Linked DNA regions of Ovis aries. The protein of the gene in region 2 binds, or shares a complex with, the protein of the main gene of each other region. Links are inferred from orthologs where the notes say so. Each region holds a gene or a part of one and is shown on either strand. Other genes may lie near its edges.

Region 1 (5,857 bases), on a different chromosome or scaffold from region 2:
AGACCCAGGGGAGCCAAAAATAAATAAATAAAAAATTAAAACTATACATAAAAAAACCCAAATATGTGTTGAGTGACTACTACGTGCCTGATGCCATCAGTGAGCAGGGGCAGCCATGGACTGCTCTCACGGGGGTCTGCTGGTGGTGGATGTGGGGGAAGCACTCAGGTCAGCACCACACAGGTCAAATGGAAAACTATTCCCAATTATAGGGCTTTGAAGAGAGGTTTGTGGTTCTCAGGACCTTGACCTGGCCAGGGAGGCCAGGGTATCTTCTCTGAGAAAGACTTGAAGAATAAATAGGGAGTAACCAGGGCAGGAGTGGGGGGAAGATGATCCAAGCAGAGAGAATTGCACGTGCAAAGGTCCTGTGGTAGATGGCCTGGATGAAGGCCAGATTGGCTAGGGTTCCACAGCAGAGGAGAGTGTGGTGACAATGAGGTCAGGCAGTCAGCCAGCTGACAGCACTTGACTTGTGGGTATCATTAGAAGATTTGGTCTGAATTCTGAGAGCAAAAGGACACTTTTAAGCAGTGGTGCAAAATGATTCAATTTATGTAGCAAACTGGTTTGGTGGTGTTGTTCAGTCAATAAGTCGTGTCTGACTCTTTGCAACCCCATGGACTGCAGCACATGAGGCTTCCCTGTACTTCGCCATCTCCTGGAGCCTGCTCAAACTCATGTCCATTGAGTCAGTGATGCCATCCAACCATCTCCAGCTCTGTCATTCCCTTCTCCTCCTGTCTTCAGTCTTTCCTGGCATCAGGGTCTTTTTTCAATGAGTTGGCTCTTTGCATCAGGTGGCCAAAGTAGTGGAGCTTCAGCTTCAGCATCAGTCCTTCCAATGAATATTCAGGGTTTGAGGAGCCCAGATGTTAGCAAGGAGTCCCTGAGGGTCTAAAGTGCCCACATAAACAGTAAGAATGGCTTTGACTCAGGACACGATGAGACTGGGGGGCAGGGTGAGTTGAATGTTGGGGTGGGGATCAGGCAGTGTTGAAGTCTGAGAAACTGGGCTGGTGGATGGGGGGCGGTGACAATGAACGTCATATTCCTGTAAGAACATATTATATTGAGTATGATAAGTAATATCTTCGTTTTTCCCAGGGGTAGAATGGCTGACTTCTGGGGAAAAAGGACAAAGGACTTTCAGGTTCTACTATAATTTGTGTGCTCGGTCACTCAGTTATGTCCACCTCTTTGCGACTCCTCAGACTGTAGCCCACCAGGCTCCTCTGTCCATGGGATTTCCCAGGCAGGAATACTGGAGTGGGTTGCCATTTCCTCCTCCAAGGGGTCTTCCTGACCCAGGGTTTGAACTCATGTCTCTTGCATCTCCTGCATTGGCAGGAGGATTCTTTACCACTAAGCCACCTGGGGAGCCCTCTACTATAGTAGATGATGTTTAATATGTTTTCTCACTAAATCTGTTCAACAAACCTGAGAAATAAATTCTAACATGTGTGTATGAAGAAAGGGGTCTCGGAAAGGTAAAATAACCTGCCCAAGGTCATGGCTGGGAAGAGGTTAAGCCTCCACCAGCCTCCTCTCTTTAAAACAAAAAAAGGCAAAACAACTTCATTTCATTCTACTCAGTATGCTGATAATTGAGGGGAAAGTTTTTGGCAAGAAGGGAAAGGGAGGGGACCTGGAAGAACTCCTTGCTCTGGAAGAATGCAAGGGAGGCTGGGGCCATGGCTCTGGGGCACCCCAGGTCCTGTCCAACCACAGAGGTGACCGACTTACTCTTGACCCGAGCCGGAAGCCGACTCTCCCTTTCCCTCTACCTCCCACCTCCTGCCCGGGGAAGTCCTAACCTCCCAGATCTAACCTCCATCCTCCTGTTTCTGTGCCCGCTGTCTCAGCTCGCAGGCGCATCCAAGCCACCTGGCTGCTACCTCTCCCTGCTGGCTGCCTGCCTGCCCTTCAGCCCTTGGTGGGGCTCCCAGGCGGCCTGTAACTGGATACCAGACACCGATTCGTCCCTTCAGGCACCCCCCCGAGCTGCCCTCCATGCACCCTGTTTCTGGATCTGCTCTTGGAAACCTGGATAGTGCGTGTTTCCACTCAGCCCAGTGACCTTCGCCTGTCTGAGCCCTGGTTAATTTTTGCCCAAGTCTTTGCAGGCTCTGGGGCTCCTCCCCTTCGGGGATATAAGCCTGGCCTGAGGCTGCCCTGTTCCCTGCCTGTTCCTGAGCCTCCCCGAGCTCCCTCCCCGTCCTCACCATGGCCAAAGGATTCTACATTTCCAAGGCCCTGGGCATCCTGGCCATTCTCCTGGGTGTGGCGGCCGTGGCCACCATTATCGCTCTGTCTGTGGTGTATGCCCAGGAGAAGAACAAGAATGCCGAGTGTGGCACGAGCCCCACGAGCCCCACGAGCCCCACGGGCCCCACAAGCCCGACAACCACCTCGGCCACCACCGTGGACCAGAGCAAGCCGTGGAACCGATACCGCCTCCCCACAACCCTCTTGCCCGACTCCTATAGGGTGACGCTGAGGCCCTACCTCACTCCCGACGAGAACGGCCTGTATATCTTCACGGGCTCAAGCACCGTCCGCTTCGCCTGCAAGGAGTCCACAGACGTCATCATTATCCACAGCAAGAAGCTCAACTACACCACCACCAACGGGCACTTGGTGGTCCTGAGGGGTGTGGGGGGTGCCCAGGCCCCCGAAATCGACAGGACCGAGCTGGTGCTGCTCACAGAGTATCTGGTGGTGCACCTCAAGAGCCCGCTGGAGGCGGGCAAGATGTACGAGATGGAGACCACCTTTCAGGGGGAGCTGGCCGACGACCTGGCGGGCTTCTACCGCAGCGAGTACATGGACGGCGACGTCAAAAAGTGAGTCAGAGGTGGGCCTGCCGGGTGGGGGCGGATCCTAGACACCGGGGCAGAGCGGGATCCTGGGGGCCAAGGAAGGGCTTGGATTCGGAGCCTTTGAATGTTCCAAAGCCCTTCGCTGGCCCATCGGTCCATCCAAAGTTCCCAAGACAATCAGCCGTTTTCCCCCCACCCCACTCAATCGGGAGTCAGGGATGAACAATGAAAGCCACCTTGGACAGATAAGAGAACAGGCTCTGAGGAGAGAAATGTGCCAGCGTCTCCCGGCTAATACAGGGGGCAGCCAGGACTTTGACCCTGAGTCCAGAAGGAGCTCTGATCACCCATGTCAGCTGGCCTGTCAGCCTCGAGGTGGCCTGGGAGAGGAAAGGGGGGGTGGGGGGTAAGGGGACAGGGATGAGACCAGGCAGCATCTGTGAGCCTGCCCCCCTGCACACCCAGCCACAGCCTGCAGCCCCTACCCTGCACACCCACGGGCACAGACACTCTGTGGGCGCATCCTCTAACCCCCTGCTCTGGGCAGGGTGCTGGCCACCACGCAGATGCAGTCGACAGATGCCCGGAAGTCCTTCCCCTGCTTTGACGAGCCCGCCATGAAGGCCACATTTAACATCACCCTCATCCACCCCAAGGAACTCACAGCCCTGTCCAACATGCCACCCAAAGGTGAGCAGGTCTGGCTGGGGCCTCATGGCCTGGGCCTGGGAAAGCCGACCCTCCCCCCAAGGGCTGGGGTGCAGGGGCAGGGGGTGGGGCACACCTTCACAGGCCTGCATGCTCCCTGCCCAGGTCCCAGTGTCCCACTTGAGGGAGAGCCCAACTGGAACGTCACTGAGTTTGAAACCACGCCTGTAATGTCCACGTACCTCCTGGCCTACATCGTGAGCGAGTTCACAAGTGTGGAGTCACAGGCGCCCAATGGTGTCCAGGTATGAGGCCCAAGCTCACCTCACCTTCCCCAGGGTTGGTCTTGGCCTGGGAGACGTTCCTGTTTATCCTCATCCTGGTCCCAGCCCCTAGGCAGTGTGTGAACCCCAGCTCTGAGGCATCTTGGGCAGGTGTCTTTAGTTCTCTGAGCCTCAGTCTCTGCATCTGGAAAGTGGGACCCTCCTCATTAGCAGGGGCTTCCGCAGTAGCTCAGTGGTAAAGAATTCGCCTGCAGTGCAGGAGCCGTGGGAGGTACAGGTTCAATCCCTAGGTAGGCAAGATCCCCTGGAGAAGGAAATGGCAACCCACTCCAATATTCTTGCCTGGAGAATCCCCATGGACAGAGGAGCCTGGCAGGCTACAGTCCGTGGGGTTGCGGAGAGTCAGACACAACAGAAGCGAATTAGTATGCACCCCTAATAAAGGGAGTTCCCGATTCCTGGGTGCCGGAGAGTCGCCATGGCTCATTCCCCGTAGGCCCCTCCCTACGGCTCTAAGAGAGACACCCCCCACTCCACACACTCCCTGCTGACCAACTTCCGGGTTTAACCTGGTTGGTCACCAGCCTGCCAGACTCTGGGACTTGGTCCACTTGCACCGGACCCAGGAAGAGCCCCTGACCTCTCCTATCCTCTTTGCAGATCCGGATCTGGGCTCGGCCAAAAGCAACTACAGACAGGCATGGCCTTTACGCCCTGAATGTGACAGGTCCCATCCTGAACTTCTTTGCCAATCATTACAATACAGCCTACCCACTCCCCAAATCTGGTGAGTGAGGGGCCTTGCGTTGGGGGAAAGTGAATGGGTCTCCCCCTTCATTCCCGGAAGCCATCCTGCCAACCACCTGGCCTCCCCAGACCAGATTGCCCTGCCCGACTTCAACGCCGGGGCCATGGAGAACTGGGGGCTGGTGACCTACCGGGAGAACGCGCTGCTCTATGACCCTCAGTCTTCCTCCAGCAGCAACAAAGAGCGAGTAGTCACTGTGATTGCTCATGAGCTGGCCCACCAGGTATCCCCCCATCATGGGGAGCCCAGACGAAGAACATGGGGGGCTCCAGGGGGAGATGGCCCAAGTCATGGCTATGTCCTCAGAAGCTGAGAAGGGAGTGGGGATTCCACCTGGCCAGGGGGCTCGGGGAGGAGTCAGGATGAAGTCAGTAAAGCCTCCAGCTCAAGACTGGCGGGTGGGGAGCATTTGGCGAAGGGTAGCCCTGAATGTCGTTAGTGACCGCGAGGTCTGAGTGATTTGCTGGGCTGACCCCTCTCCCCTACAGTGGTTTGGAAACCTGGTGACCCTGGCCTGGTGGAATGACCTGTGGCTGAATGAGGGCTTTGCCTCCTACGTGGAGTACCTGGGAGCTGACTATGCGGAGCCCACCTGGAATCTGGTGAGCCCCCTGCCTGGGGACCTCTGGGGTCTGGGATGGGCGATGACCTGGGTCACCCCTTCCGAGGCCAGTCCCCTGATTGGCTGTTGGGGGTTTGCAGAAAGACCTCATTGTGCCGAATGATGTGTACCGTGTAATGGCTGTGGACGCACTGGTCACCTCTCACCCACTGACCACCCCTGCTGACGAGGTCAACACCCCTGCCCAGATCAGCGAGATGTTCGATACCATCTCCTACAGCAAGGTGCTGCCCAGCCCCCATGCTGGTCCTCAGACAGTCGAGGGGTGGGTGGGGAGGGTGGCAGGGGTTCAGCCCCCCAGGGTTCCGGGAGCACCCGCCCAGCCTGATGGGGACACAGGGTCCCCCGGCTGGCTCGACACAGCCTCTTGAGCTCCCTCCTCTCCACAGGGAGCCTCGGTCATCCGGATGCTCTCGAATTTCCTGACTGAGGACCTGTTCAAGAAGGGCCTGGCGGTGAGGATCCTCAGCCAGTCACTGGGTGGGGGGGCGGGGGGGTTTCCCTGGCCTCACAGAGGCTGTGGCCGAGCCTGGGGCCACAGCTCTGCCCTCACAGAGCTCTGTCTTTCCACAGTCCTACTTGCAGGCCTTTGCCTATCAGAACACCACCTACCTGAACCTCTGGGAGCACCTGCAGATGGTCAGTACCAATCAGCCCTCCTGAAGACGTTCTG
Region 2 (6,025 bases):
ATCATGATAGTTGTTATGCAAAAATTTAAAAATTCACATGTCAGAGTTGATGGAAGAGATTTTCACATACTGAAGTATGGAGAAGTCATTCTGGTTTATCCAAAATGGAGCTGGTGGTCATTGTGGATGTTGTCTCAGACACGTTCATGTATCACTGAGAACTTGAGTTTTCTGAGCGATAACAGACCATAGCCGTAGCTGCCAGCTGCAACCTTCTGGTCTCAAGGCCTCCCCTTGTAACTATGCAACCATTTTGAATCCCAAACAATCCTTGCTTAACAAATACCCTTACTTGCCAGTTCCAGTCCTAATTCTTGACAAGCAACGTGCGTAATTTTGCAGTTCCTGCCTCCATAAGCCTCCTCTGTGTTTCGTCTGGTAGAATACAACTCAAGCGCTTCCTGAATCTGTGTCTCTCTGCGATAGGCCTCAGTTTGGCTCAAATAGAACAGTTGTCTATTCTTATTATAGATTATTTATTGATTATTTCTGTTAACAAAGTCCTGACCCCTAGTGCCTCAAACTGCGACTGTATTTGGAGACAGTCTTTAAAGAGGTAATTTAGGTTTAATGAGGCCTTTAGGGTGGGCATTAATCCGGTCTGACCAGTGTCCCTATAAGAGATCAGGACACAGGGAGAACCGCATGAAAGCATTAGGGGCAGACGGCCTGGAGACCACCTGCAAGCCCAGGAAAGACGCCTCGGAAGAAACCAACCCTGTCAACTCCCAGCCTCCAGAATCAAGAGAATACAGATTTCTTCTGTGTAAGACTCCAGTCTGTGGCTCTGCAGTGGCAGCCTATAACACCAATATGCCCACCTGTTCAAGGCTATAAATTTTCCCCAAAGAACAAAATGTGAGGCAGCAAGGGTCTTTGTGGGGCTCCAAGCCCTAGGGTAGGTGGTAAACCATTTTGGAATACAAGACCAACTCACACAGAGGTTTCTCCTGTGTTACAAATTAGCCTGACAAGAAAATAATCCAGCTGTGTGGGAAATGTTCCCTTATTTCCCCAGCCAAGTTGTGTAATTTAGAATGGAGATCTCGTATTTGTTTGGCTCTTTCCCATAGATTATCCAACCTAACGTGTCACGTGAGCTAAGATTGTTCCACTTCTTTGCAGACACAGAAAGGGGAGTTCTGGGATACGGAGAAACATCCCCAAGCTCATGTTACAGCAAGGAGGTAACAGAGATCCGATTCCAACCTACTTCACTCTCACAGGTTATGCTCCACCCGAGTGCTCACAGGACTCACCCAGAAAGCCTGAGAAACTATTGCAATCTGAGTCTCACTTCCAGAGATGCTAATTAAGTGACCCTGGGAAGGGTCTGAGAAAGGGTTTTTAGTCTCCCGGTAGCCCTAACCTGCAGCTGGAATTAAGCACCATAGACTCAACCTGGAGAAGCCCAGACATCCCTGCCTGTCTCAACCCCCTCCCCAGCGCGCACCCGCCCTGCAGAGTAGATCCCCGAGGGGCTCCGAGTCGTCTGTGCCTGAGCCCATTCATCAGCAGCCAGATTTCACCGGTCTGTGCCCAGTTCTCCCAGGAGGCGCAGACGTGCCTCCGCAGTGTAGAAGCTTTCCCTGCCTCACCTGGGGCAGGTGAGGTGGGACAGTGCTCAGCACCTCTGCCTCAGCCTCACTTCTAGCCAAGAGAATGGGCGTGGGCTGAGCTCCTGGGAGAAAAGGCTCCTGGGTCGGCTCTGCTGGCTTTTTCCGCGATGGCTCTCACTGAGAGAATAAATATTCCTTTATGGGTTCATTGCGCTCTAGCGGCTTGCTTCTATATGACACCGCCTTCATTTTGAGGGAAGGCGAGTGCTGTACTACCAGGTAGCCGCCCAGCCTTCCCATTCCCCCCTCACTCTCCCCTGCCCTCCCAGAGCTGGCCTGGGCCTCCTTGGAGCTATGGTCCATCACCACCAACTCCAGGTCGCCTCGAAGCCTAGCTGGCTCCTGCACACCCACGCGTGCCTGGGCAGGTGCGGCGACGGCAGCCGCTCGGCGAGGGCTGACATGCGCTGCGCACCCTCTCTGCTCTAAGTGTCAAAATGCCAAGGGAACTCTGACCTCTGACCTTAACTCCCACCTACTCTCCTTCCAAGCCGTTTGACTCCACCCACTGTTCCCACAAGGAGTTACACAACACGGAAAAAAAGGACAGAAACTTCTCTCTTTATAGGCCTTCCTGTCAGGCAGGCCTAAGTTGCCCATTGACACCTCTCCAGGGGAAACTGGCGGGGCCTGAGTGTGGAGAATCCTTCAGGAACAGGCCTAAGGGTCCTGGGCTGGGGCCGTGCAGGTGATTGCAGCCGCCTCCCAGCTTCCTTCAGGCGCAGGCCCCGTTTCAGGCGATTTACCAGGTAGAACAGAGGCTGTTGTTTGCTCTCGGTTGTGGTCTGTCTCACTGGCCTGGGTGCCAAGTCAGCGCACAGCTTCCCAGCCTGACAGCGGTGCCTTGGGTTTTCTCTTCCACCTGCCTACACCTGGCCTCCCCCTTGACCAGCCTCTCCTGCACGGCTCCCTACATCTCAGGGCTTGTGCTCAAGGCTGAAGAGGATAGTAGCAAACACAAGTGCAAGGCTGCTCACAGCTTCAGTGACTTCAGGGGCCAAGTCTGAACCCTCACAGCAGCCTACCTTCTTGTCTGGGCCTCCCCACCAGATTTCACCCTTCGACTGGCCCTCCACGCCTGGCACTCTGAACTCACTCCCCCTGCCCTCCTCTCCTCTCCCAGTGGTGCGGCTGCTAAGTCACTTCAGTCGTGTCCGATTCTGTGCGACCCCACAGACGGCAGCCCACCAGGCTCTGCCGTCCCTGGGATTCTCCAGGCAAGAGCCCTGGAGTGGGTGCCATTTCCTTCTCCAATGCAGGAAAGTGAAAAGTGAAAGAAATCGTTCAGTCGTGTCCGACTCTGTGCGACCCCATAGACAGCAGCCCACCAGGCTCCTCCGTCCCTGGGATGCTCCAGGCAAGAGCCCTGGAGCGGCGCCAGTGCCTCCCCGCCCGTGGCGCTGGTCCCCTGCAGCTCTGGTCACTGCGTCACTCGTGTGTGTCTTATGTCCAGCGTGTATCGCCGTCTCCTCCCACACGGATGCAAATCCTGTAGGACTGAGGTTCTTGCTCTGTTTTGCTTACTGATGTGTCCCACATTCCCAAAAATACAAGTGGTGGCTAAAGGATGCTGTCCTGCAGATGAAGAGACAGGTTTGGAGACTTGCTCAAGTTCACACAGCTGGTAAGAGACAGATCTAGTGTTCGAGCCCAGAGCCCAGGACTCCATACTCCATACACTTAGGCACTGATCTATACTGCTTTCGAACAAGACTGTGTCTTTTTAGTTTATTCTCAAGTTTAGAAAGCACTATCAGGTATTAGCACTCTTAATTTATAGCATAGTTCCCGAGAAAGGGAGACCAGGTATTGCTGCTGGTTCCATTTTATAGACAAGCAAACCGAGGCTCAGGATACAGAGTGACGAGCCTGACTGCTCAGACCCGGGCCTTGAGCCCAGGACTAGAGCCGGCACTGCCTCCGAAGAGCGGCAGGGAAGTAGACCACTGCTCCCCTGAGCCCTGTGGGGACACAGCCCCAGGCTCACTGAGCCTGCCCTTCTCCCCAGCTCCACTGCCTGCACAAGCCTTGCTCGTCCTCGGGCTGGAGGAGGACCCAGGGGACTCCTTCTGCGCCAGCCCCCTAGGACCCAGCCCTGCTCAGAGGGAGCGGAGGACCCCGCCAGCCTGCCTGCTGCTGAAAGGAGCAGTTCCTCTGGTGAGACCCATGATGCGCTCAGGGGAGGGCCAGCCTGTGCCTCGGGGCGCTCGGGGGAGGGACAGCCTGTGCCTCGGGGAGAGGCACCCTCCGAGTCTGGTAATGCCACCTGCAGCCCGGGTCAGCGCTGTCCCCTGGTTCCTGGGTGCAGTTTAGCCACAGGCTTCCAGCAGCTCTCCCCCATACCTGTCCACCAGAGCGCCCAGATTTCTCCTACCAGCAAACAAGGCAGCTGTGTGAAGAGAGCTGGGGAGGGTGTGCATGGAGAGGGCCCCCACTCACCTTCCGCTCTTGTCCTCAAGACAGGGTGGCTTCTTCCTCTGGCTGGGCCACCGAGGCCCTATTTATGTCTGAGGGGTGGGGATGGAGCGGTTCCCAGACCAGCCTGTGCTCAGGCCAGGGGGAGGGTGTTTACATGACTTGGCCAGGCCGTGGGGGTGGGGGCCTCAGCAGCCTCCCAACTAGAGGGACAAATGCCAGGCCAGGCGACTCTCAGGATGGGCCTCCTTCCAGGAATCCAGGGGGATCGATGCACTGTTGCTGCTGACAGTGAACTGGTGCACAGTCAAGTTACACATTTACTGAAGTTTGCTCGGCCTGGGGCTGCTGTTATGGGACACGGGAGAATCCCATGTGGGTTGTGATGCATCTCTGCCCCTGGGTGTGATGGCCTGAGGTCAGCCACCCAAGCCTTGAGACTGAGCCCCCTTGGGGAGTGATTCTGAGAGGCCCCAAGAACATGTGGGCTCATGGGTCCAGCGGGAAGCAGAAAGCCCTGTTCAGGTAGCCTGGGGGTCACCTGACCCCATGGCCTTGAGTGGCTCAGTGGTTGTACAAATAGCCACTGGGTCCCCACTCCATGGAGAGGCCTCTGATGGAGACACACACAACCCAGCAAAGCACATTCTAGAGAGCAGTGATTCATCTGGGGACACCACTAGACACCAACAGCAGGGAGACGGGAAGGTGCTCACAAGAGCTTTTAGATTCTGAGACAGTTTAGTCTGTTAGAGCTGGAGAAGCTTTCAAAGTTCTCTCTGTCATTTGAGTCACATCTTGAAGGATAAATAAGTTGGTTCTTTGAGGTTCATTTCCGTTCAGTCGCTCAGTCGTGTCCGACTCTTCGGGACCCCATGAATCGCAGCACGCCAGGCCTCCATGTCCATCGCCAACTCCCGGAGTTCACTCAAACTCACGTCCATCAAGTCAGTGATGCCATCCAGCCATCTCATCCTCGGTCGTCCCCTTCTCCTCCTGCCCCCAATCCCTCCCAGCATCAGAGTCTTTTCCAATGAGTCAACTCTTCGCATGAGGTGGCCAAAGTACTGGAGTTTCAGCTTCAGCATCATTCCCTCCAAAGAAATCCCAGGGTTGATCTCCTTCAGAATGGACTGGTTGGACCTCCTTGCAGTCCAAGGGACTCTCAAGAGTCTTCTCCAACACCACAGTTCAAAAGCATCAATTCTTCGGTGCTCAGCCTTATTCACAGTCCAACTCTCACATCCATACATGACCACAGGAAAAACCATAGCCTTGACTAGACGGACCTTAGTCGGCAAAGTAATGTCTCTGCTTTTGAATATGCTATCTAGGTTGGTCATAACTTTTCTTCCAAGGAGTAAGCGTCTTTTAATTTCATGGCTGCAGTCACCATCTGCAGTGATTTTGGAGCCCCCAAAATAAAAGTCTGACACGGTTTCCACTGTTTCCCCATCTATTTCCCATGAAGTGATGGGACCGGATGCCATGATCTTCGTTTTCTGAATGATCTTCGTTTCTCTGAGGTTCATTCATTCATTTCATTTCAGTCGCTCAGTCACGTCAGACTCAAGAAGGGCTTTCCAGAGGTAGAGGCTGATAAGGCAGCAACAGAGATGGGAAAGCATGGGGCTTGTCTAGGGGCCGCCAGCAGGCCCGGGGCTGAGAGGGAGCTGCTCCTGCTTCTGGGCTTCCCCGCCCTCCCCAGTGGTGAGAGAGGACCCCAGGGAAATAGAGCTTCTGCACAGGATGCCAGGCTGGGTCTGGGCCGCGTAAAGTGAGTGGGGGAAGGGAGGACGCTGATTAGTGCCAGACACCGCGCGGGAGGGGAGAGGCGCTGCTGCGGAAGGGACTGAAGACGCCTCGGCGAGGCGCGGCACGTGATGCCTGACTTCTGCTGTAAGAAATGTTCTCTGAAAGCGATACTGTCGTGAGGAAAGATGGAGGGGGCCCGGGCACCACAGCGCCCAGTTCAGGCTCCTGAGGGAATG
Region 3 (5,924 bases), on a different chromosome or scaffold from region 2:
GTGAGGACCACAGGGGAGGTGCGGTTGCCAAAGGAGAGAGTCTTGGTGAGCTGGCTCCACTCAGCACCCAGCTGGGCCATGTCCACGCCTCGCTCCTTCAGGCTTTCCCGGACTGAGGGCATCTTCTTGAGGAAGATCCTGGCCCATGATGGAGTAATAAAAAGTAGAAGAGCTCTGTCCCCTCCCACAGTAATGGTAGAGTTCTAGAAGCTTCTAATAAAACTACCCCAACCTTAGCCCAGGCACCTAGGGATCACTCTTGAGCTGTTAAGTCTCTGAAGGAGACTCCGTGGTTACCTGTGCTGGTATTAAATGATCCTCAGCTAACTCGCTCCTGTTGCTTGATTTTGCTCACCATTTTAAGGTCATTTGTTCATTCATTCACTCCACAAGCACAGGTTGGACACCTACTCTGTGCCTGCACCTTGCTGGATGCTAGAGATAAAAAGACCATCACCGCCTTCGAGGGGCTCCAGCGGATGGGAAGACGGAGGAGGAAACAGCACTGACGTCCCCCTAAGGAGGTGAAGGTTGGGCATGCCGGCTCACGGCTGGATGGGTGAGGCAGTGCCACGCGGGGCCTGCAGGTGGCAGCACATGCCCGCACGGCCGGGGCGGGGGCTCCAGGAAGCAGCAGGCAGCACCCGGCCAGGGCCCTGGGCCTGGACTGGGCGGGGTCGGGGAATGCAGGCGTCTCCACAGGGCCTGTGCAGCCTGCCCTCGGGAAGAAGCGTCTTCCTGAGCCCAGGTCCCAGGCCCTCCGCTTCTTGTCCCAGTGCTCTCCTGTCACCTTCGGGAGGCGGAGTTAAAGAGAACTGGGAAACTCACGTCGCCCTGAGCTGCCACCGTGCGGGCGCCCAGCGCGGTGCAGGCCACCCTCACCACGTGACCTCGTTCCCATCCTGCAGGCTGGCTGTCCTCACTCCGGGGTGAGGGATGAGGCGACTCAGGAGTAGGTGCAGCAGGGATTCGAGGTGCCCTGACTGGCCCATCTCCCACAGAGGGGTCCCCGGACTCCGACGTGAAGGCTGTGTGCCACAGCCTGAGCCGTTGTTGGGGGTCCCGGGCTTGCAGCCCAAAGTCTGGAGGGTCCCTATTCCTTCTTCTGTACTTGCACTAGCCTTTCCTTCTCAGGCCCCATGCATTTTGCCCACAAACGTGAATGCAACTTTCATGCTTGTTGGTGTTAATATTTTAACAGAAATGACTTGCCATATTCATAACATGGTCTATTGTTCCACAAAGTATTTTCACGACTATGATCTATTTGATTCGTAGCCATCACCTGAGGTGAGTATCTTTACTATTTTCATTTTACAGATGGGAAAATGGAGGGACAGAGAAGGCTAGACCCCAGAGAGGGCTCCTTTTACCCTCTCCTTTTAGAGAATCCCTTCCTTCTCCCCTTTCCCTCCCCCTCCCCCCCACGCCAGCACTTTCCAGCATTTTCCAGCCCTCTAAGGCCAGGGTGCACCCCGCCTCCTGGAAGCCCCCATGCCCCCACGCTGGCCTCCCCTTTGCCTGGGCACCTGCCCCGTTTTCCCCGGGTGTCCGTAACCAGCGCTGCACAGCCTCGTGCCTTCTGTGATGAGGGTGTAGTGGTCGTGGTGATGTGCTCGAATCCCCTCCTACCTGCCTGACTCTGAGCAACTTACCTGACCTCCTCTGGGTCTCTGTAACAATGGACTTAATGGTAGTACCTACCACCGAGAGTACGCACTTTGCAGATTGAGTTGCCCGGTGCTCAGTACATGTTGTAAAAGGTGTCTGTGTGTAAAAGGCAATGACTGCACCTTGAGACTGGAATCGGCCCTTCAGAGCGCCGCAAAGCCTTGCATGGGGATGTTGAGGCTCATGTCAGTTAGCAAAACTCCTCTAAGTACATTTGGAAAGCCTGACTCCCTCTTCACCCTGGTCTAATTTCATTCTTCTCGTTCTGAAGAGACAAGGGAGAATGTTTTTTTCCTTTCCCTCCCTTTATCCTGGGGGTGGGGGCCACGCTCAGACACATACTGCCACTGGGAAGTGCCTCTCCCCCTCACCACGCCCCCAGCCCAGCAGCTACTCTCCCTGGAGCAGAGGAAAGAGGCTTCGGAAACGTGGTGCAGCGTGTGCCCAGGCTGAGCCTCCTACATCGGACCTCCCTGAACCTCAGTGTCCCCAGCTATAAAATGGGACTGTTGGGAGGATGATTTGAGCTGAGACACAGGAAGCAATCCTATGAAGTCCTCAGCATTTTACAGGCCTAGCAACTACCACTGTTACGAAAGCCTGCCCCTTAACTTCAGGTCTTCTGGTCCCATCTGCTTCCCCAGCGTGAAACCCTTTCTCTGGAAGGCCCTCTCCCACCTGCCTCCCCGCTCCTGCAGCCTTGAAGAAGCCTTGTTCCCTCAGGGAAGAAAGTGAAACTGAAAGCCACTCAGTCATGTCCAACTCTCTGCAACCCCATGGACTATACAGTCCATGAAATTCTCCAGGCCTTTCCCTTCTCCAGGGGATCTTCCCAACCCAGGGATCGAACCCAGGTCTCCCGCATTGCAGGCAGATTCTTTACCAGCTGAGCCATCAGGGTTCCCTCAGGGCCTGTCGCCAAATATGGATGTTGGGTCTTTATCCTCCTCCTTTGGGCTACCTTAAACTTTTCTTTTAATATTCGTGATAATCCCCCTGGAGATGGTAACAGCTGGGTTTTTACAGCATGCCTGCACCAGGCTGAGGCATTTACAGGCAATATCTTATTCACTCCTCAGAGCAGCTCTGTAAAATAGGTATTTTATTATCCCTGTTTTAAAAATGGTAAACTGGAACTTCCCTGATGGTCCAGTGGCCAAGACTCCATGCTCCCAATGCTGGGGGCCTGTGTTCAATCCCCAGTCAGGGAACTAGATGCCACGTGCTACAACTAAGTGTTCTCACACCACAACTAAAAGATCCTGCCTGCTGCCATGAAGATCCAAGCAGGCAGTGTAGCCAAATAAATGAATATTGAAAGGTAAAAGTGGCAAACTTGGACCTGGCCAGGTTCAGGGGCTTGCCCACGGTTCCAGAGTTAGTTGGCACTGCTAGTGGAACAGAATTTAAACCAGGACTATTCAGCTCTGGAAGCTTTGCGTTTAACCACTACATTACCCTGCTTCCCTGGCAGAGTTAACAATACCACACCCTTCTTAGTAATTAGTCTGTGAGCTCCCGAGGGGCAGAGAACATGTCTCAGTCATCTCTGAGTCCCCCCAAAGCACCTAGCATGGTGATCTGTGCAGGAACTGAAAACTCTGGGCCAGGATCAAAAGGCCCAGCTAGTGCTTCTGCTGGCTGTGTGACATCGGGCAAGTCACCTGACCTCTCTGAATGGGGCGAAACTCTCCCTGCCCGGCTGCTTGCGAGGACGGGATGACATCCCTTGTTTGAACCACCCCCCAACCCGTGTCAGGAAAGCGAGGATCCCTCCTCCCCCCACCCTTTCTCCCAGTTACCGTCTGAAGGCGGCGGTGTCTGCAGGGAGACTGAAGGTGCTGCAGCCCCAGAGCGCCAGCAGGAGTCCCCAGAGAGGCATCTTGCTGCACTGGCCCACAGTTCGCCTGGGTGCCCAGCTCGCTCTGGGGTCCCCTGAAGCACCCTCTCCTTTTATACATGCACACTCGGGATGGCTGCGATTCTGCTCTGCCCTGATTTATTACTGCGGGACAGATGGCGGGGCAGCCGGTAATAAATCCCTCAACGGGACTGAGCTAAGTGGGTGAAGGGTGACCAGGTTTCTGACGTGGAGCTGGGGGGCTAGAAGAAGGATGGCTGTGGGAAAGCAAGCCTGCACCCAGTGACGCCAATAGCCCTGTCTCGGCCTGGCCCTGTGACCCCTCAGGGAAGACCGAAGCCGATGAGAAACAGCACCGCTAGGGAACCAGGAAAGGGCTGGGACAAGCACAGGACCCCAGTTTCCAGCCCCCAAGCCCGTCTCACCGACCCCTTGCCTCTGTGTTAACCTCGGCTGTGCCCCTGACTGGCGTCTCCCAGGCTGCGTCTCAGTGTTACCATCTGGAACATGGGTGACCCCTCCAGCTCGTTCCCTGACAGAGCCAGAATCCAGGGAGTGCCGACACGGCCTCCCCCCAGGTCTCTGTCACCAGTAGTTGTTTATGGGAAAGTGCAGTACAGACCTCCTCTGGAAGTAAGGAGCTGGGGGCAGGGGACGTGGTTCCGTCTTAGATGACCTGTGTTGGTAGAAGGGAAGGGAAGCCCCGGGACTGGGGGAGGCTGCTTTCTGCCAAAGTGCGAGGTGGAGCAGCTGGTCTTTCCACCCCTCTCCCTCTCTCTTCTTCTCCCTGAGTACTCTCTGGGGCATGTCTCTGCCTCCTTCCCTTTCCCTTATGGCTTACCAGCAGTCTGGAGCTGCTCACCACACATCCACCTGGCCCCTGAATCCCAGGGTGGATGTTGTTTACGCAGCCTAGGACCTCCTCTCCTGGCTCCTCCCTGCTCACTCCTTGCGGCCCACTTCCAGGATCTCTGTCTCCTCCAGGAAGCAGGCGTGGATTCAGCCTGGAATTGACTGTCTCTGCTGGGGCTCCCAAGGTGCAGACACATGCCTTCTGTGAAAGCACAGGCCTCAAATGTCCTCTCTCGGAATCATTTTGATGTGCATGCCTCTGCCTCTCACCCAGAGTGGTGCTCCCCGCTCATCAAATGAGTGCCCAGTGAACCCTGATGGGCAGGGCCAGGGGCCTGGCTTCAGGTTCTGACTGTACCCCCAACTTGCTGCATGCGGACGCCCCTCTCTGGGCCGTAGTCCCCAGGCGGTGTGAGGAAGCAGACGCCGGGCGACCCCAGGGTGCCCGCCTGTGTGGATGCTCCAGTAGCCAAGTCCCGTGTCTTCAGCGTGCTCCTCTCTGCACCTGTGGGCGGAAAGAACTTAACCAGCGGAGCGAAACTCTGTTGCTGGTGTGCAGACTACTTAATGCGTCGGGATCTCTGAAATTACAACACCCTTGTCGAGGGATGGGAGAAGCTGGTGCTTCTTGGAACAAACTCTCACTGGAGAATTTTCAAGCATTGTGGTTGGCACTGGGGGAAGCATTTGAGGGGCCGGGAGAACCTTTTTGTGGGAACTTCTGTCTTATCAGACTGAATAAATAGTTATTAAACTGAATCAATGTTTATTTGTAGGCTCCAGTGCTCTGCCTTTCCTTAGCAAGTGTCACTGAGCGTTTCTTACGTGTCAGGCGCGTGTCCAGATGCACAGCCCTCTGAGGGGCGACCCTCAGCCCCCCTGGTCAGACAGGAGGCTGAGCCTTCAGAGGACTCAAGGAAGGGCAAGCCGAGCGGTGTGCCCGCGACTCCCGGCTCCTCTCTGGGGCTACGTGCCTACCCGAGCCCACAGGATGCAAAGGAGAGGGTGCCGGGCTGGGGCTGAGTCTGCCAGGCCAGAGAGCTCTTCAGAGCCGCGGCCTCGCTGCAGTGTGGACGCCCGGCACAGCGGGGCCCTCGGCTGTGTCCTAGGTCCGGACTCCGGTCTCTTCCATGGCAAAGGCAGGGCCGGGGGGCACCCCCGCCGGGCCAGCCCTCTGTGGCCCCAGGCGCTCTCCAGCCAGAAACACCCTTCCCGCCCACCTCCCCGTGTCCTGCCAGTGTGTGCAGCTCACACGAGTGCTGGCCCTGTGCGCCAGTGTGAAGAGAAGAGGGAGGGACCTGCAGGAGAGACACACATTTGTCAGAGTGCAGACCAGAGTCGCAGGCACCAGAGGGGAGGCAGGGAGCCAGCTTCCGAGGGGTGACACGGCCCGGACGCCATCGGCTCTCCCTTCTCCCAGGGCCCCGGCCCAGCTGGGAGCGGCAGCCGTCTCTCACTTTCTCACCAGCTCCTCTCAGCCCACCCGACCCACCCTTGTGGGACCCGGATCCTGAGGCCGGACACCAGGTTGCACATCCCA
Region 4 (5,836 bases), on a different chromosome or scaffold from region 2:
CCTAAACACACACACACACACACAGCAGTAGGAATCCAACTCTTCCCAGCTCTCTGTTCTCACTCTGTTGGGAACCAGACAGGGGAACACTTACATGCCATTTCTATCAGGGAATCTCAGACTCTAGAAGGAGAGACAAGCAAAAGGCACAGGTGCCATAAGAGGGAGAAATCAGAGTGTTGGTGGAGGGGGTCAGACGGCTCTGCCCCTTTCTAACTCTTGGAGCCTCAGTCTCTTTAACTGTTAAATGGAATAACTGTACTTCCATTACCAGGTGGTTGTGAATGTATGAAGGGCACCAAGCATAGGATGTGCTTAATACTACTTCTTCACCTACCCCTTCTTTATCTCCATGGGAAAGAGCCAAGGCTAGGGGTGGCTATGACTTCAGTGAGTGGACTGTTGCATGTAATTCTGTGTGTGTGTGTGTGTGTGTGTGTGTGTGTGTGTGCATGTGAGCACACGCATATGTTGGAGCAGGTGGAGGGGACAATGTGGTGGAGGGCTGGACCCTGGTTCAGGGACACCAGAGGACTTCCTGGGTGGCCTTAGGGAAGTCAGTGAATCCATCAGCCTCCGTTTCCCCATATGTACTCTAGATTAAATTATATCCTAACTCAGGTTTTTTGTAGGAATTAAATGAGATCCTCCATGTCAAGCTGTTAGCATAGAACTTCAGGAAGTGCTCTTATTAGCTGTCCTGATGAAAATGCAGCTTGGCTGGGGGTTTCCCAGGAGTACTGGGATCTTTCCTTGGACTGAGCTGCCCACTGGTGGCGATGGACGGCACTTCCTCCTCTATCCGTGTACATGTCAACCTCTCCCGAGTGTCAGGGAAGACTTTACACCTGTTTTAAAGACAATAAAAATTGGGGCACAGGGAAGAAGAAGGGGGATTTTCTAGGGACATAGACTAATTTATTGAGTTCCTCTCTCTCATGATAATCACCATCAGTGCCAACAGCACTGTTGTGCCAAACAGGGCCTTGGGCATCTTCTGTGAATGAGAAACTGGTGTGGGTAGTGGACAACCGCTGCTCTGGGCCTAGACACAGGTGTGGCAAAAACTGACAAGGAGGGTGTGTGGATTTCAGGGTAGACCCTCTCCTCCACACTTCTCTGCACAGCACTAGGGGGCGTCAACACTGTCAACACTTCCCTCAAGTTAACAACTTCCCTCCAGTAAAGACCGGGATTTTTAGCCGGGTTTTCTGACTGAGGAAGTCAAGACTCACAGAGGTAAAGAGACTCATCGAAGGACACACAGCTACCAGGCAGTGGAGGCCCGCCTCAACCTTAGATGGCCTGGCTCTGCTCCATTTCTGATTTGGGACCCTGAAAATGTTCCCCACTTGGCCCAGGACAAGTGCTAGGCGCTTCCACGTGCCATTCCCCGACCCATCCCATCCTCTGGTGAGTTTCTCCAGACATGCAGGCTCGGCTCTGCCCTGGGCAGCCTTTTGGGGTTGCGGTCGGCTTTCTCATCCATCCGGCACCTGGCAAGAACCCCGAAACTGCCAGGCCCCTCGCCCCTTGTTCAGAAGAAACTGAGACGCGAAGATAAAAATTTAACTGCTGCCCTAGCCAGGCCCATGGCGAATCCGAGAGGGTACAGGCAGCCCTTGCGTTTCTCCACACCCCCCGCCTGCCCCGCCCCGACCCGCACGGTGGGACCATCTCAGCCCCGGCTGGAGCCCGCTCGACTGTGGCCTCCACTCCCTAAACGGAGGGCTTTGCAGGCTCGTCACTATCCATGGTCCTGGGTTCCTATACCCAAAACTGAAGTCGGGGGACTCAGAAAAACTCCAAAGGAGAGCGGGGGTCAGGACTGTGTTGGGGTTGTCGCCGGTGCTCCGTTCGTAACAGCCACGCTGCCCCGCCTGGTTTGGGGTACCTTCTGTGCGCCGTCTGTTCGGACTAGGCCTGGGCCAGGCTGAACATGGAGGTTTCTGACCCCCACGCGTGTACCGCCTGCGGACAAAAGGCCAAGGCCGCAGGGGCCATTCCGCTCGCCACCCTGTAGCGCCTGGGGGCGGGGAGCCGGTTTGCCGGCTCAGAGCTCCTATTGGCTTGAGGCGATGCCCGTCTGGGCCCCGAAGCTCGGCAATTGGCTGGTGGAGGCGGAGTTGGCGGAGCCCCAATGAATGGGGGAGCCGGAAGCAGGAAGTGAGTGTGCGATCGGAGCAGCTGCTGCAGGTGAGGCGCGGCGACCGGGTTTTGGGGTCACCATGTGTCATCCTCGGGTGACAGGGAGCGTCTGGGCCGAGCTCAAGATCACTCCTTTTCTGCCCCCTCTTCCAAATTCATCGCGGCCCCGAAGCCAAGGATCGCTCCGGACAGCAAAGGGTTAACGTCCCTTTCGGAACCCAGGGGCTTGTGCCATTTGGGAGCAGCTTTGGGAGTGGCGGGGGTGGTAGGAAACTCTTTCAGAGTAAGAGAGGGCGTTGTGAATACTCCGGGTTGGGAGACACCCAGGTCCTAACCAGGCAGCAAGACTGTCGATAAGCTGCTTGGCGTCTTTAAGCCTCAGTCTCCCTATCTGTAAAATGAGTTTTCTCTCGGCTCTGAGCTTCTGCAGCTAGGGAGGGTCCCCTGGCTGAGCACAGGGAGAGGCCAGGGGGATAAGAGTGGGACAGATCCTGCCAGCAGTGAGAACTGAAGAGTACAGGGAAAATCTTGTACTGCTGTGGGTACCTTCTGTCAATCATGCTGACCTTGTGACCTCATCTAATTTGCATAGCCACCCAGTGAGGTTGGGGTTATTATCAGAGGCTGTCTTCTAGAGGTAGAAAAGTAAAACTGACTTGATATTTGGAGTCTGGGGCTGAGCCAGTCTTGGAACCTGGGTCTTCCAGCTGGGACTCTGTCCTTGTGAACACAGTGGTGGGCAGAATCGAAGAACATGCAGGATAATTCTTAAGGGGAGGCTAGGAGATCAGAGAGGGAAGAGGGGTGACCACGGAGAGGGGCCTGGGAGCCCAGAGATGCAGAAGCTTGCTTTTGACCCCTCCCTTCTGTTATTAGGCAAAGCACCCCACCTCCCTGGCCCTGGTTTCTCCATCTGTAATACTGCTGCTGCTGCTAAGTCGCTTCAGTCGTGTCCGACTCTGTGCGACCCCAGAGACAGCAGCCCACTGGGCTCCCCCATTGCTGGGATTCTCCAGGCAAGAACACTGGAGTGGGTTGCCATGTCCTTCTCTAATGCATGAAAGTGAAAAGTGAAAGTGAAGTCACTCAGTCGTGTCCGACTCATAGTGACCCTATGGACTGCAGCCCACCAGGCTCCGCTGTCCATGGGATTTTCCAGGCAAGAGTACTGGAGTGGGGTGCCATTGCCCTTTCCAATCTGTAATACTAGGTAGTTGGATTCAGTTTTTAAGTTTGGGAGGCCACAGGCCGAATATTGCCTGCCAGAATATTGTGTAATCTTCTGGGGTGAGTCACCTAACCATCTCTGAGTCTCACTTGGCATATCTGGTGCATGGATGCAATGGTATTCCCTTCCTCATTCAGACCGTGAGTGTGTAGACTCAGATGTACATGCCATTGGTGTGGGATAAATGATGCTTGTGATCACGGTGATGGTTCTCAGCAGGGCCCATGGCGGACACCCAGTACATTCTCCCCAATGACATCGGCGTGTCAAGCCTGGACTGCCGCGAGGCCTTCCGCCTGCTCTCGTCCACAGAGCGTCTCTATGCCCACTACCTGTCACGGGCTGCTTGGTACGGAGGCTTGGCAGTGCTGCTGCAGACCTCCCCTGAGGCCCCCTACATCTATGCCCTGCTCAGCCGCCTCTTCCGTGCCCAGGATCCCGACCAGCTGCGCCAGCATGCCCTGGCAGAAGGCCTTACTGAAGAGGAATATCAGGTTAGTTCTCTCAGGCCAACCTGCATTCTGGGTGTGAGGGGCCAGGAAGCAGGGGTCCAATGGACTCTCTGTCTCTCTCTGGATTAGATCAAAGGTTTTAAACACAGGGACATCCCCTCCTGGAGTCTCAGTCTTCTCATCTACAAAATATGCCTGAGGGTCATCTGTACCTCTTAGGGTGGTGGCCCCCTGATGAGATAACTGATGGCTGTTATGATGATCACAAGAGCTGTGGAGTAGAGGAAACAGCTGTGGAGGTTCGGAGACGGTAGAGGAATGAGTTCAGTGTAGGAATTTGGAGGTCTGAGTTCTGGGCCAGATCTTCCTCCACCATGTTGCATGTCCCTGGGCAGAATGTTCTGCCTGTCCTTTTGTTTTTATCTGGTCTGTGGGTCTATTGGCCAAGGAATACATGAATGCATTCTTAATGCTTTACAGCATTGCAGAAAGGCACAAAATAAAACACAAAGATCATTTTTTCTCAATGCCTAGCCAAAGGTAACCACCAAAGATGGTGGGGTGTATAGCCTTTTCAGTCCTCTGTCTATACTGGATACCTGTACAAGTAGAGATGCACATGTGTTACTTGCTTCTTTTCTCTTTCACGTATGAGATCACATGCTATAGATTCTTATGAGTTCTGCTTTTTTTCACTGAACACTATATCTTGGAGAACTTCCATGGGGTACATAGAAATCCACCTCGTTCTCTTTTATTGACTGTGAAGCATTCCATAGCTTTGTACGCTGTTATCAGTTTAATCCTTTGTATATTGATGGACATTTAGGTTGTTTGTGATTCTTACAAACAAGACAAATAAGCATCCTTAAGCATGTGTGTGACTAGGATCTATTTTTAGAAGCAGAATTGCTGGGTCAAAGGCTCTGTACATTGACAGTTGACTAGTGTTGTTAAATCATTTTCTGAAAAAGCTTCTCCAAGAATGTATGAGGATATAGTTTTTCTATATGTAAAATAAAGGGATTAGATTGCTTATCTTTGTGCTGAGGCCCAGGCTATTTCTTCTACTTTTTGTTTGAACTTTGAGTAATCACATCCCATCTCTAGGCCTTGATTTCCTCATTAAAAGAGAGAATAGCCGGGAGAGTTAATGGAAAAGTGCTACCAAAGTATTCACTATTTGCAGTGGGATTGTTTTGTTTGGAAGTAGCAGAAACCCACCTCAAATTGGCTTAAATGAGAGGGAAAAAAAAATCATGACTCCCAGTTTCTGGTCTGGCATGTTGGGAGCTTAGATGTTGTCCATCTCTTCTAACAAGTAAAAAGCTGAATAAATTGAAAAACCAACAACTCTTCTTAGATCCTTAAGAGAAGTGAGGTTCCAGAGCAAACTGCAGCTCTCAAAATTGGAGAAACAGACAGGCAGGTACAGAGAGTCACAACTTACCAGAGCAAAAACTCATGAACAGAAACCTCCATGGAACCAGTGCTGAGGTAGGAAAATTGGAACTGTAACTGATGAATTGCTAAAGGCTCAGTGTGGACAATTCTGACAGTTGAAAACTCCAGGGGGAACTGGACATAAGGGGGCCCCCACAGTTTGGGGGGTTTTACCTTCAGGAGCTTCACCTGGTTCTCACAGTGAATTTCAGAGAAAAAAAATCCCTCTTGCTTCTGGCAGGGGGAGGTGAGAAGGAGCCATTTAAAAAATATGCTAGAGCATTCTGTTCTTAACATGATCTTCCCTCAGGAGAAACTATTTAACCAGAAGCAAACCTGTTAGGGTTTTATTGGAGCCTAACTGATCTGGAAGAAGGGAAACACACAACTCTAGACAGCTCTGACCATCCGGTCCCATCTAAAAGGAGTGGGAATATGGGGCTGAGAAGAGCATGTCAAGTTCAAAGTCCAGCAGCAAAGGCTCACTAAAATCATGGGACTCTAGAACATTCCCCCTGCCACCATTCCTTACCATCCCACTACTAAAGGCCTGTTTATGACGGTT

What was found. The genes of interacting proteins can lie anywhere in the genome.
Region 1: the proteins of AGT (region 2) and ANPEP are in contact, whole or in part, in a crystal structure (PDB 4FYS), measured with the Homo sapiens proteins. The link is inferred for Ovis aries from reciprocal best matches to the Homo sapiens genes AGT and ANPEP. Residues at the interface, in NP_001369746.2 of Homo sapiens: Val27, Tyr28, Ile29, His30, Pro31, Phe32; in NP_001141.2 of Homo sapiens: Gln211, Gln213, Ala351, Gly352, Ala353, Met354, Glu355, Arg381, Val385, His388, Glu389, His392, Glu411, Glu418, Asn438, Arg442, Phe472, Tyr477, Ile864, Phe896, Ser897, Asn900, Gln903, Ala904, Arg907.
Region 3: the proteins of AGT (region 2) and REN are in contact, whole or in part, in a crystal structure (PDB 6I3F), measured with the Homo sapiens proteins. The link is inferred for Ovis aries from reciprocal best matches to the Homo sapiens genes AGT and REN. Residues at the interface, in NP_001369746.2 of Homo sapiens: Asp25, Tyr28, Ile29, His30, Pro31, Phe32, His33, Leu34, Val35, Ile36, His37, Asn38, Glu39, Lys91, Leu92, Ala95, Met96, Met99, Leu100, Phe103, Arg107, Arg148, Ala151, Ile152, Gly154, Gln353, Gln354, Asn355, Asn358, Glu391; in NP_000528.1 of Homo sapiens: Tyr81, Met82, Thr84, Gln85, Val102, Asp104, Gly106, Ser107, Asn109, Ser118, Arg119, Leu120, Tyr121, Thr122, Val125, Tyr126, Leu147, Arg148, Tyr149, Ser150, Pro181, Ala182, Leu183, Pro184, Met186, Leu187, Ala188, Glu189, Phe190, Val193.
Region 4: the proteins of AGT (region 2) and DPP3 are in contact, whole or in part, in a crystal structure (PDB 5E2Q), measured with the Homo sapiens proteins. The link is inferred for Ovis aries from reciprocal best matches to the Homo sapiens genes AGT and DPP3. Residues at the interface, in NP_001369746.2 of Homo sapiens: Asp25, Arg26, Val27, Tyr28, Ile29, His30, Pro31, Phe32; in NP_005691.2 of Homo sapiens: Phe109, Glu316, Tyr318, Glu329, Phe381, Gly385, Ile386, Pro387, Ala388, Gly389, Ile390, Asn391, Ile392, Asn394, Arg399, Val412, Leu413, Val415, Ala416, Phe443, Val447, His450, His455, Glu507, Glu508, Asn545, Arg548, Leu552, Glu555, Phe556.

What each region holds. Positions count from the first base shown.
Region 1 is NC_056071.1:20,528,194-20,534,050, reverse strand, and holds the start of ANPEP (aminopeptidase N), read left to right. Parts: upstream 1-2,179; 5' UTR 2,180-2,226; coding exon 2,227-2,846; intron 2,847-3,369; coding exon 3,370-3,512; intron 3,513-3,635; coding exon 3,636-3,775; intron 3,776-4,414; coding exon 4,415-4,541; intron 4,542-4,630; coding exon 4,631-4,785; intron 4,786-5,050; coding exon 5,051-5,164; intron 5,165-5,264; coding exon 5,265-5,408; intron 5,409-5,573; coding exon 5,574-5,639; intron 5,640-5,757; coding exon 5,758-5,823; intron 5,824-5,857. UniProt on the Homo sapiens protein: Broad specificity aminopeptidase which plays a role in the final digestion of peptides generated from hydrolysis of proteins by gastric and pancreatic proteases.
Region 2 is NC_056078.1:44,653,133-44,659,157, reverse strand, and holds the start of AGT (angiotensinogen), read right to left. Parts: upstream 4,095-6,025; 5' UTR 4,059-4,094; intron 3,195-4,058; 5' UTR 1-3,194. UniProt on the Homo sapiens protein: Essential component of the renin-angiotensin system (RAS), a potent regulator of blood pressure, body fluid and electrolyte homeostasis.
Region 3 is NC_056065.1:1,789,201-1,795,124, forward strand, and holds the start of REN (renin), read right to left. Parts: upstream 3,679-5,924; 5' UTR 3,554-3,678; coding exon 3,474-3,553; intron 139-3,473; coding exon 1-138. UniProt on the Homo sapiens protein: Renin is a highly specific endopeptidase, whose only known function is to generate angiotensin I from angiotensinogen in the plasma, initiating a cascade of reactions that produce an elevation of blood pressure and increased sodium retention by the kidney.
Region 4 is NC_056074.1:40,946,455-40,952,290, forward strand, and holds the start of DPP3 (dipeptidyl peptidase 3), read left to right. Parts: upstream 1-2,158; 5' UTR 2,159-2,196; intron 2,197-3,592; 5' UTR 3,593-3,600; coding exon 3,601-3,870; intron 3,871-5,836. UniProt on the Homo sapiens protein: Cleaves and degrades bioactive peptides, including angiotensin, Leu-enkephalin and Met-enkephalin. Also cleaves Arg-Arg-beta-naphthylamide (in vitro).